2 linked regions of the Neurospora crassa OR74A genome follow. The protein of the gene in region 1 purifies or fractionates together with the protein of each later gene. This does not show direct contact. Links are inferred from orthologs where the notes say so. Each region holds a gene or a part of one and is shown on either strand. Other genes may lie near its edges.

The links. Proteins that work in one complex are often made in the same cells at the same time.
Region 2: the proteins of pcb-1 (region 1) and rpt-1 purify together in Saccharomyces cerevisiae (affinity purification with mass spectrometry; 3 studies listed by BioGRID, with this or other methods). This does not show direct contact. The link is inferred for Neurospora crassa OR74A from reciprocal best matches to the Saccharomyces cerevisiae genes PRE3 and RPT1.

The regions. Positions count from the first base shown.
Region 1 is NC_026507.1:58,585-63,437, forward strand, and holds pcb-1 (proteasome component PRE3), read left to right. Parts: upstream 1-1,774; 5' UTR 1,775-2,263; coding exon 2,264-2,297; intron 2,298-2,482; coding exon 2,483-2,528; intron 2,529-2,644; coding exon 2,645-2,659; intron 2,660-2,781; coding exon 2,782-2,816; intron 2,817-2,899; coding exon 2,900-3,140; intron 3,141-3,268; coding exon 3,269-3,587; 3' UTR 3,588-3,998; downstream 3,999-4,853. Other genes in the region: NCU09291 (FAD dependent sulfhydryl oxidase Erv2), read left to right, coding at 604-860, 952-1,345; NCU09289 (hypothetical protein), read right to left, coding at 4,380-4,469, 4,722-4,807. UniProt on the Saccharomyces cerevisiae protein: The proteasome degrades poly-ubiquitinated proteins in the cytoplasm and in the nucleus. It is essential for the regulated turnover of proteins and for the removal of misfolded proteins.
Region 2 is NC_026501.1:8,943,838-8,948,489, reverse strand, and holds rpt-1 (26S protease regulatory subunit 7), read left to right. Parts: upstream 1-1,331; 5' UTR 1,332-1,898; coding exon 1,899-1,901; intron 1,902-1,965; coding exon 1,966-2,057; intron 2,058-2,128; coding exon 2,129-2,243; intron 2,244-2,320; coding exon 2,321-3,430; 3' UTR 3,431-3,688; downstream 3,689-4,652. Other genes in the region: NCU02839 (T-complex protein 1), read right to left, coding at 1-90, 197-852, 927-978, 1,092-1,142. UniProt on the Saccharomyces cerevisiae protein: The 26S proteasome is involved in the ATP-dependent degradation of ubiquitinated proteins. The regulatory (or ATPase) complex confers ATP dependency and substrate specificity to the 26S complex.

The DNA.
Region 1 (4,853 bases):
CGGGCTCCGCCTGCCCTGTGCGTGCCCACTCTCCTCGTGTCCCGTTAGGTTGTCCGGCCAGTGGGTCAGCAGGCTCAACTGCCCCTGAAACAATCCAAGACACAGCCTCGGCTGGGCCCGACCCTCCGCTGATGACGGGAGATTGCCAGGGGCATGCCACCTAGAGGTAGAACCAAACCGGACGTGGGGTCGGGTCTCTCGCTTCAAGTCCAATCGGCGCTTCCAATTCCGCCAACTCAAAGGGTTCGTTTCTCGAACCACAATTCAGGGGATCATCATCGGTCCATTCTTCCTCTTGATGCGAAGTCTCCTTTGCCCTACTCTTTTCTACTTCACAACGATATTTACTACCCGCTTGCCACAAATATGACCTCGAGGTAGTTGCGCGCGCAGTCTCATTGAACGCCCACGATACCATCACCTAATCTCTACAACAACGTGCGCTCTGATCCTCACGACCACACGCGAAACAGGCAGGATCCTGAATTCACCGGCGACAAGAACCAAACACGTTCGGTCAGAAAAACAAAGTCGAACCAAGTCAACTGGGCGCGAGAAAGACCTCCACAGGGACTACCCTAATCGAATCGATTTACCATCATCATGGCGCGAAGGCCGCACATTACGCTGATGCTCGTCGTCGGCGTCATTCTCTTTGTGTTTACGACCTACATGCTCTCCTCGAGTGGCTCCTCGGGGGTGGTACAGCATTCAGAGACTCTCGATTTAGGCGGAAGTAGCGGCAGCGGAGATCACAAGAGTGCTAGTGGCGATGGCGGCAGCAAGTCCGCGTTTGGCATATCGGATAACATCCTCAAGGGCGGCTCTATCGCGCCCAAGCTGGAGAATGCGACGGCCAAGTATGTCTATCATGTGCATTACATCGCACCCTACATCACGCTATGCCCGTCTGGCCAGGCATCATTTCGCTAACCACAGTAACCACAACAGAGCAGAACTAGGCCGCGCTTCCTGGCGTCTCTTCCACACCATGATGGCGCGCTTCCCCGAGACCCCGACCGCCGAAGAATCGTTGGCTTTGAAAACCTACATCCAGCTGTTCGCGCGCCTCTACCCCTGTGGCGACTGCGCATCGCACTTCCAGAAGCTGCTAAAGAAGTACCCACCGCAAACGAGCGGGCGCAACGCGGCGGCCGGATGGGCCTGCTTTGTCCATAATGAGGTCAACAAGCGCCTCAAGAAAGAGCAATTTGACTGTAACAAGATTGGGGATTTCTATGATTGTGGCTGTGGGGATGAAGGTGCCAAAAAGGCGGGGGAAGCTGGCGCTGGGGCAGAGGTCAAAACAGAGACAAAGAAGGGAGAAGATCTCAAGATGGATTGAGGGTTGAATAGGAGGAAAAGTTGATTCTGCACTTGTAGGGAGGTGACAATCACGCATGGATATCAAGTGACCGTGAGCGGCGTATGCCGGAACGCCCATTGATTAGAGACGGAAATGTCTTGGATATTGCAGTCGTAACACCGATATCGACTGGTGTCCTGTCGTAATTCGGACGAACTCGACCCGAGGGGCGTTCAGATTCCAAGGCGCTGTGGAAATGAGGTTGTCAAAGACATGGATTTGCCTGCTTCTATACCGCCGCCAGCTCCAGGGCCCTTTGCGAAACGAAACCGTTGAGATATTGAGCATTGGTATTTTGAATTAAGTTGATAATTACCTCTGTGCCGTGGTTGCAAAAGGTCAACGAAAGACAATGGCCAGGCAATTCCCTTGGTTGTCTCATTGGTTATGCTGCCGTATACCTTATACATGAACCCCGATTAGAGAATATCGCTCCACTGCAGAGAGCCCGACGATGACGCTATCAGATGGAGTCGAATCGCGTGAAAGAGACTGATAAGATAAGAACAATCGATACGACCGGGCCTCGAGGGGACGGGAGCTTATGGCGGCTATCGCACGTGATCCACTTAAGTGAAAGCCAAGCCAAGCCCGCCGTCTGCAACACGCGTGTTTGGAGCTGCCTTGAGCTGAGGGGGGCCTGAGCTTCCACTCAACTGGCCGTCCCGCCCTGTGATGGGCCCGCCTTCGCCGCCTTCGAGGTTCACCCAGCGTTCGTTGGAGCTTCCTTTCAGTAGTACAACGAACAACAACACGACTTGAAACGATTCCACAACTCCACGCCTTTGTCCTCTCGATTTACACTGCGACGAGCGTCCGAACGACTGTTCACGAGACTGTCCAACATCTTGATTGCGCATTACGTTAGAACGACAACCACTCGATAGCCCCGTCATCATGGAATTTGGAACGTCGGGCGTGCTCAGCGAAGGTGAGCTCCAACTTCCATTCGGCGTCGCATTCCATATCAAGTCATCACCATCACGGCGTCACCACTGCCTACAAGTCACCAACCTACCAACTCTCTTCGAGTCCGGCAACTCCCTGCCGCCAACACCGTTCCCCCTCCGAGGTCGATCGCAGACAACACATGTTAACCGCTACTGTCTCCTACAGATGGCATCCATGTCGATATGGACAGGTTGAAGAAGGGTGAGGTCAAGTAAGTACACCACACTGCGCGCCCATGGTTCTAGTTCCAATCCCACCTATCATATAGTCGCAAGCGATGCGCATGAACAAATGAAGCAGTCAGCTAACTTTCTTGTCTGCTAATAGTTTGGGTACCTCGATGTAAGCTTCCCCCGACCTTCTATCCCTCCCTTACGACATCGAGCCTCTCGACGATGCGACAGGATCCCGGGTATCCACACGCGAAGCAGCAGCGATGTCTAACGAGCTTGATATAAATACAGTATGGCGGTCACATTCAAGGACGGTGTTATTCTCGGTTAGTGTCTTCCAGCCAACAACACTACATACCCTTGGATTCCGGAGACAGAATCATCGATCTCAGGCTGACACCTTGAACAGGAGCCGACTCCCGCACAACCACAGGCGCCTACATTGCCAACCGCGTAACCGACAAGCTGACCCAAGTACACGACACCATCTGGTGCTGCCGCTCCGGATCCGCCGCCGATACACAAGCCGTCGCCGACATTGTGCAATACCAGCTGGGATTGTACCACATGGTCAACGGCAGGCCTCCGACGACACAGATTGCGGCTGCTGTCTTCCAGGAGATTGCTTATGCCAACAAGGATAGGTTGACGTATGTTTTTGGTGGCCCCCTTCCCTTCATCTCACTTTGCTGCGTTTTTCTCTCTTTCTCTTGCGCCCTCTTCCTCTTCTCTTATCATGCACAGGTCGGGTTCCGTGCTGACTATTGGATTTCAACAGTGCCGGCCTCATTATTGCCGGCTGGGATGCCCGCCACGGTGGTCAAGTGTACAACATTCCGCTCGGCGGCTCCCTGCACAAGCAGCCGTATTCGATTGGCGGTTCCGGTTCCACATACATTTATGGGTACTGCGACGCCAACTGGAAGGAAGGAATGGAGGAAGCCGAAGCCGTAGCGTTTGTCAAGGAGGCACTCAAGGAGGCGATCAAGTGGGATGGCTCCTCGGGAGGTGTCATCAGGATGGTGGTGTTGACGGAGAAGGGCGCCGACAGGCATTTGTATCTGCCGGATTCGGATTACAAGGTGAGGCACCAGTGATGGGATCTCGAAGAATGGGCTGGTTGGGCTCGTGGAGGTGATGGTCATCTATCCGTAGCCCGAATGGGCGGCTGAAATGTAGCAGGAGACGAGCCAAGGGTCCAGCCTCAGCCTTCACCCAAGAAAGTACACCAGAGAAGGTGTGTTAATACGAAATGATACATGAGAAGACAAGTCGTTAGACCATGGTCTCGATGGCAGGAAGTTCAACTGTTTCCTGCAGGCTTAACTGATACAGCTGGAAGTGGTCCCTCATATCCTTGAACATGAGGATAAGTTTGCCTTCATTCATATTCGTAAGCGGGACCTCTCGTATTTGGCTAAGGTGCTGTAATTATTAGGTAGCATAAACCTATCATAGCTACGCTACTATACCCCACTATAGATGAGGCGTGGCGAACCCGACGGGAGGTTGGCGATGGGTAGGTGTCTATGGTTTGGCGTCATAGTTGTTGTTACACAAGGTAAAGCCAATAACGTCAAGATGCCATTCTTTGACGCAAAAGCTACCACCGTTATGGGTTCATCACATCTTCTACTTCTTGAAAGCCAAATAGATCAAGTGGATATGTAGCCTCGCTAAGCGCCAGCGGAGTGAAAGTGAGGAGTTTTGCTAGGATCCATTGCCACATCACTCGCCAACGATACCAAGTTTGTTGCACTTCAGCGAAGTCGGCGGCGAGTTTGTTGCGTCAAACGCGGTTACACGAAGAAACCCACTTCATACGTCAATGTTCCCATTGATACGTAACGACTTTGATACGTGAAATACGTAAATTACCAAAGATGCCTTCACATATAGTAGTATCGGTCGCAGGCATTGTCGTCCTCTGGCTGCTGTACGAGGACTTGATACCCCCTTGCTGTCTTACCTCTACCATTCTAGACCGGCTTTAATAACTGAAGCTTCGAACTTTAATGAACTCAGGTCTAAGGTGTTTTGTGGTCGAGGCTTCCGTTCTTACAGGTACCCATTATTTGTAAACGCCAGCTTATCGTAAAATTACACGCTCAACTCTTCGATCTCACGTCTCTTTTCATCTTAAAGGAGCCATTTATACAGCTCCTACCCACTAAGACGCCCTTCAAGCCATCCACGGCGCTGGACGTGGCAGGCAAGCATACCCTACCTACCTCTACCTTGAACAGGCGGATATATTGTTTGCTGGCAGCCTGGTCTCCCGTCCCAGGGTTGGGCTGCATCGTAACCGACCTTGCATCTGATGGGCTGAAGGGCGATGGCGTCAACAGCGACATACCTAGTGG
Region 2 (4,652 bases), on another chromosome or scaffold:
CTTCTTGACCATGTTGAGGAGGTAGGTGCGCTCTTCCTTGACGATCTTGTCCATCTGGCGGTAGTCGTTTACGGAGATGGTGTTTTCCATCTGTAAGAGTGAGTTGTTAGTAAAAGCACGAAAAGGGTAGTGTTTGGGCGATTTAGGGCCAGCAGGCAAGGTGGGTAGGTTATGGTCGCCAGAAAGGTATACGCACATCAGGCTTGGGAGGGCTGAGCTGGAACTGAATAAGACCGATCCTGGCCTTCTCCATCCTGACGGGACCACCAGCGCTCTTGATGACGGGCTGTGTAAGGACGAGACCATCAACCAGCTCGCTGTCCTCGATCGTACCGCCGACCTTCTTGATTATGCGGATGTTCTTGAGGTCGACATTCTCGGCGGTCTTGAGATCTATCGTCTTGGTGACTGCGTTGACGGCCATGGGGCCGAGGAGGTTGGAGTATTGTGACACGATCTTGGAGGAGAGCGAAGTGTTGGCGGCCTGGAGGAGCGAGGCGGTATCTGTGAGGGAGATGGGTTGCGACATGTCGTGGAGGACGTCTACGGCAGCGGCGGCGGCTCTTTGGAAAGCTTCGGAGATGACTGAGGGGTGGATGCCCTTGCCTAGTAGCCTGTCGGCGGCACCGAGCAAGCTACCGCAAAGGACGACGACCGAGGTTGTGCCATCACCGGCCTCGACATCTTGGGCGTGCGACAGCTGGACGAGCATCTTGGCTGTGGGGTGCATGACCGACATGCTCTTCAACATTGTGCTGCCGTCGTTGGTGATGATGGTCTCCCCCTTTCCAGTCATGATCATCTTGTCCATACCCCGCGGTCCCAGCGACGTTCTGACGGCATCGGCGACGGCTGGTGCATGTCTCTGTGTCAGCACCCCAGACAACAACGACACAAGACGGAATGACAAAATGTTGTAGGCATACCTCTGGCGGCGACAATGTTGGATGAGCGAACGGCGATGGGCTTCTCCTTGTCCTGTTTACATGGTGGGCTATCAGCAACTGGCTTGCCACAGAGCTTCACCCCTCCTCCTGGAGCTTTCGCACCGACTCCTATCGAGGGGTCAGGTTCCAAAAAGCGGGACGCACCCTGAAAGTCGCATTGCTCGCCGTCTGGGTAGCTGCCGGTGCGGTCGCCATGGTGCAAGCTTGTTTGATCTGGTATTTGGGATTATGGGAGATAGTAGACGGGAGGTCGGATGGGGGGATCAGAAACTGCCGGAAATTCGAGTTGACAGTTTTGGGGAATCGGCTTGCGCTGGGTGCAGTGCAGTTGTTGTGTTGTAAGGCAGAGCTCTCCTCTTCTCCTTCTTTGCTGGTCTGGAATCAATGGGCCAAAAACACACACACACACCGTCCCCTCCGTACCAATGTTTCCACTGCGGGACCGTAAAGTGAGTGCTGGCGCGGGCGCAAAGGTGGGCTGGCAGGTGGTAATTTTTTGTCGGCTGCTTTTTGCTGAGCGGTGGGCGGTGGAAAAGGTACCTGCGGCGCTGTAACTTTACACAGTCTAACCGGATAGGGTTAGGTAGGTGCTGTCAAGGTGGCACCCACCCGTAGCTCCCTCGCCCGCAAGGCAGCGCATGGATTACGGCAACGATTGAGCTTCGACCCTCTGTCAGTGAGTGGTGGCAGTTGGACCTTGACGAACCATCTCCATCCATCCATCCATCACATCAAGCAAGCACTGAACACCCATCAAACCAACTTGAACCCGACACACCACATCAAACCCGCGCCGAGATCTCTACAACCCCACGAACGACCCACGCCAAACAAGGAATCTCTCGCCCGGAGCCATCGCGACTTTAATTACCGACCCGATCCTTTCGATTACCCACCCTTCTTCGCCTTACCTAGTCCAAACGGGAAGCGTCATTCCCACCCGCCGTCATCATGGTATGCTTGCAGTCGCCCTACCCAAAGGTGCAACGCCACTTTGCACGACTGACACCGGGAATAGCCTTCTGCCACAGGTCAAAACTGGGAGAAGTACAGGAAAACGTTTGGCGACGATGAAGTCGAGGAGAAGAAGATCACTCCCCTCTCAGACGAGTATGTTGCCGCCCAAGAGAGCCCGCCCACCACTACCACCGCAACGGACAAGTCGTCTAACCCCCGTCAAGGGATATTCAGGTCCTCAAGACATACGGCGCCGCGCCCTACGGTGCTGCCATCAAGAAGCTAGAACAGCAAATAAAGGAGAAGCAGCAGAGCGTGGATGAGAAGATTGGCGTCAAGGTATGCTAGTCTTGCGGTGGCTACCCTACAAACCGCGAAGCGCATCTAGCTGACCAGTGATACTTTTTGGTCTACAGGAATCAGATACCGGCCTTGCGCCCCCTCACCTTTGGGATGTGGCAGCCGACCGTCAGCGTATGTCAGAAGAGCAACCGCTTCAGGTAGCGCGGTGCACCAAGATCATCCCTGACGAGAAGGACGAATCGAAGAGCAAGTACGTCATCAACGTCAAGCAGATCGCCAAGTTTGTTGTCCAGCTGGGCGAGCGAGTCAGCCCGACAGATATCGAGGAAGGAATGCGCGTCGGCGTCGACAGAAACAAGTATCAGATTCTCCTTCCGCTACCTCCCAAGATCGATGCGAGCGTTACCATGATGACGGTCGAGGAAAAGCCTGACGTCACATACGGCGATGTCGGTGGTTGCAAGGAACAGGTCGAGAAGCTACGCGAGGTCGTGGAGATGCCCCTCTTGTCGCCAGAGCGGTTCGTCAACCTCGGTATCGATCCCCCCAAGGGCGCCCTGCTATACGGACCTCCCGGCACCGGTAAGACGCTTTGCGCCCGTGCCGTTGCCAACAGGACAGACGCCACCTTTATCCGTGTCATTGGTTCCGAGCTGGTTCAAAAGTACGTCGGTGAGGGTGCCCGCATGGTCCGCGAGCTTTTCGAGATGGCCCGTACTAAGAAGGCTTGCATCATCTTCTTTGACGAAATTGATGCTATTGGTGGAGCCCGGTTCGATGACGGCGCGGGTGGTGATAATGAAGTTCAGCGTACTATGTTGGAGCTCATTACGCAGCTGGATGGTTTCGATGCCCGTGGCAACATTAAGGTTATGTTCGCTACTAACCGTCCTTCCACGCTGGATCCCGCCCTGATGCGTCCCGGACGTATCGACCGCAAAATTGAGTTCTCTCTCCCCGATCTCGAGGGTCGTGCCAACATTCTGCGCATTCATGCCAAGAGCATGTCAGTCGAGCGCGATATCCGATGGGAGCTCATTTCTCGCCTGTGCCCGAACGCGACGGGTGCTGAGTTGCGTAGTGTTTGCACGGAGGCGGGCATGTTCGCCATCCGTGCGCGCAGGAAGGTGGCGTCGGAGAAGGACTTTTTGAGTGCGGTGGACAAGGTCATCAAGGGCAACCTCAAGTTCAACTCTACTGCGGCCTATGCCCAGTACAACTAAACGGGGAGGAAGAAGCGCATCAATAGCGGAATGGGGAGTTTGGGGTTTTTGGTTTGTGTTGAAACCGGAAGTCTAGATGTGTAATAGATGATGAATCAAGAGCGGCTCGAGATGGCACTCATAGCTGGGACTTGGGAGAGTTTGGACCGCCAGATCCCACACAGTAGGCACAATGCAGTAGGCTCTCCTGACAAGCGAAATGAACATACGGGCGGAATGAATAGGTATCATGCCTACTGTTGTTGATGATGAACATGGATTTGAAGCGATTGCATACCTATGTGACAAAATGTGACAGCAAAACTCCATGGCAGACATGGTGAGAATTGTGACGATGAGGTGTTACGACTCCGCCGCCGTGGATATCCAGACTTCCAAAATGGGGAGACGGAGCTGCTCCCGGGATACCCTTGGCAGTGACACCATCCAAGCGAAGCGATAAGGCAAAAAGGCGGGTTACGTTGAACGATAAGGAAGCTGTAGCTCAATCGTGTCGGGTGCCGCCGTCGAGATACCGGAGCACGGAGAGGTCTTGGGGGCAAGTCATGGATGCAAAGGGGGGAAGGAAACAAATGGAAATCAAGCGAAGGGGGAAAAGTTGCAAAAAAATTAGAAACCGTGGTCGCGCTGGGGGTCGAACCCAGGACCTATGCATAACTTCCAATGGCTTGGAGGTATCTAATTGCGTGTGTTAGTATGGGACAAACACTTTGGAGAAGGTATCTTCGGGGTCAAGACTCACAAGAGCATCGCGGTAACCACTCCGCTACGTGACCATTTCTGGTTTGTTGGTTGCCTGCTTGTACCCCATGGTCAGCTTATAATAGCAGGTGAGGGGTTTGCAGATGGCTTGAACATCGATAACCCTAACCCCCTTGAATCTCAGAGCTTCTTAGAGCTGATCTTAGCTGACAATGCGATGACGCATCACCTGATGATTTGCCCTCCGGCGTCCGCGACCCGCGTTCATCGGCCTCTCACCTCAGTCTTTCCGGTGGTTTTGGATCCTTGCAAGCAATATCACGACCCAAACAAACAGGCTTGGAGGTCTGCCACTGCCACAGCTTCAGCATCTCTCCTGTTCCGGGAGTATCTACCTACATACACTGCCCGGTCATCGCGTGTGCATCACCATCACAACATGGCATTTTACATGTCCACTCACCTACCTGACTCGGCCGCGCACGCGCGCACGCACGCACGCACGCACGTACAACACCAC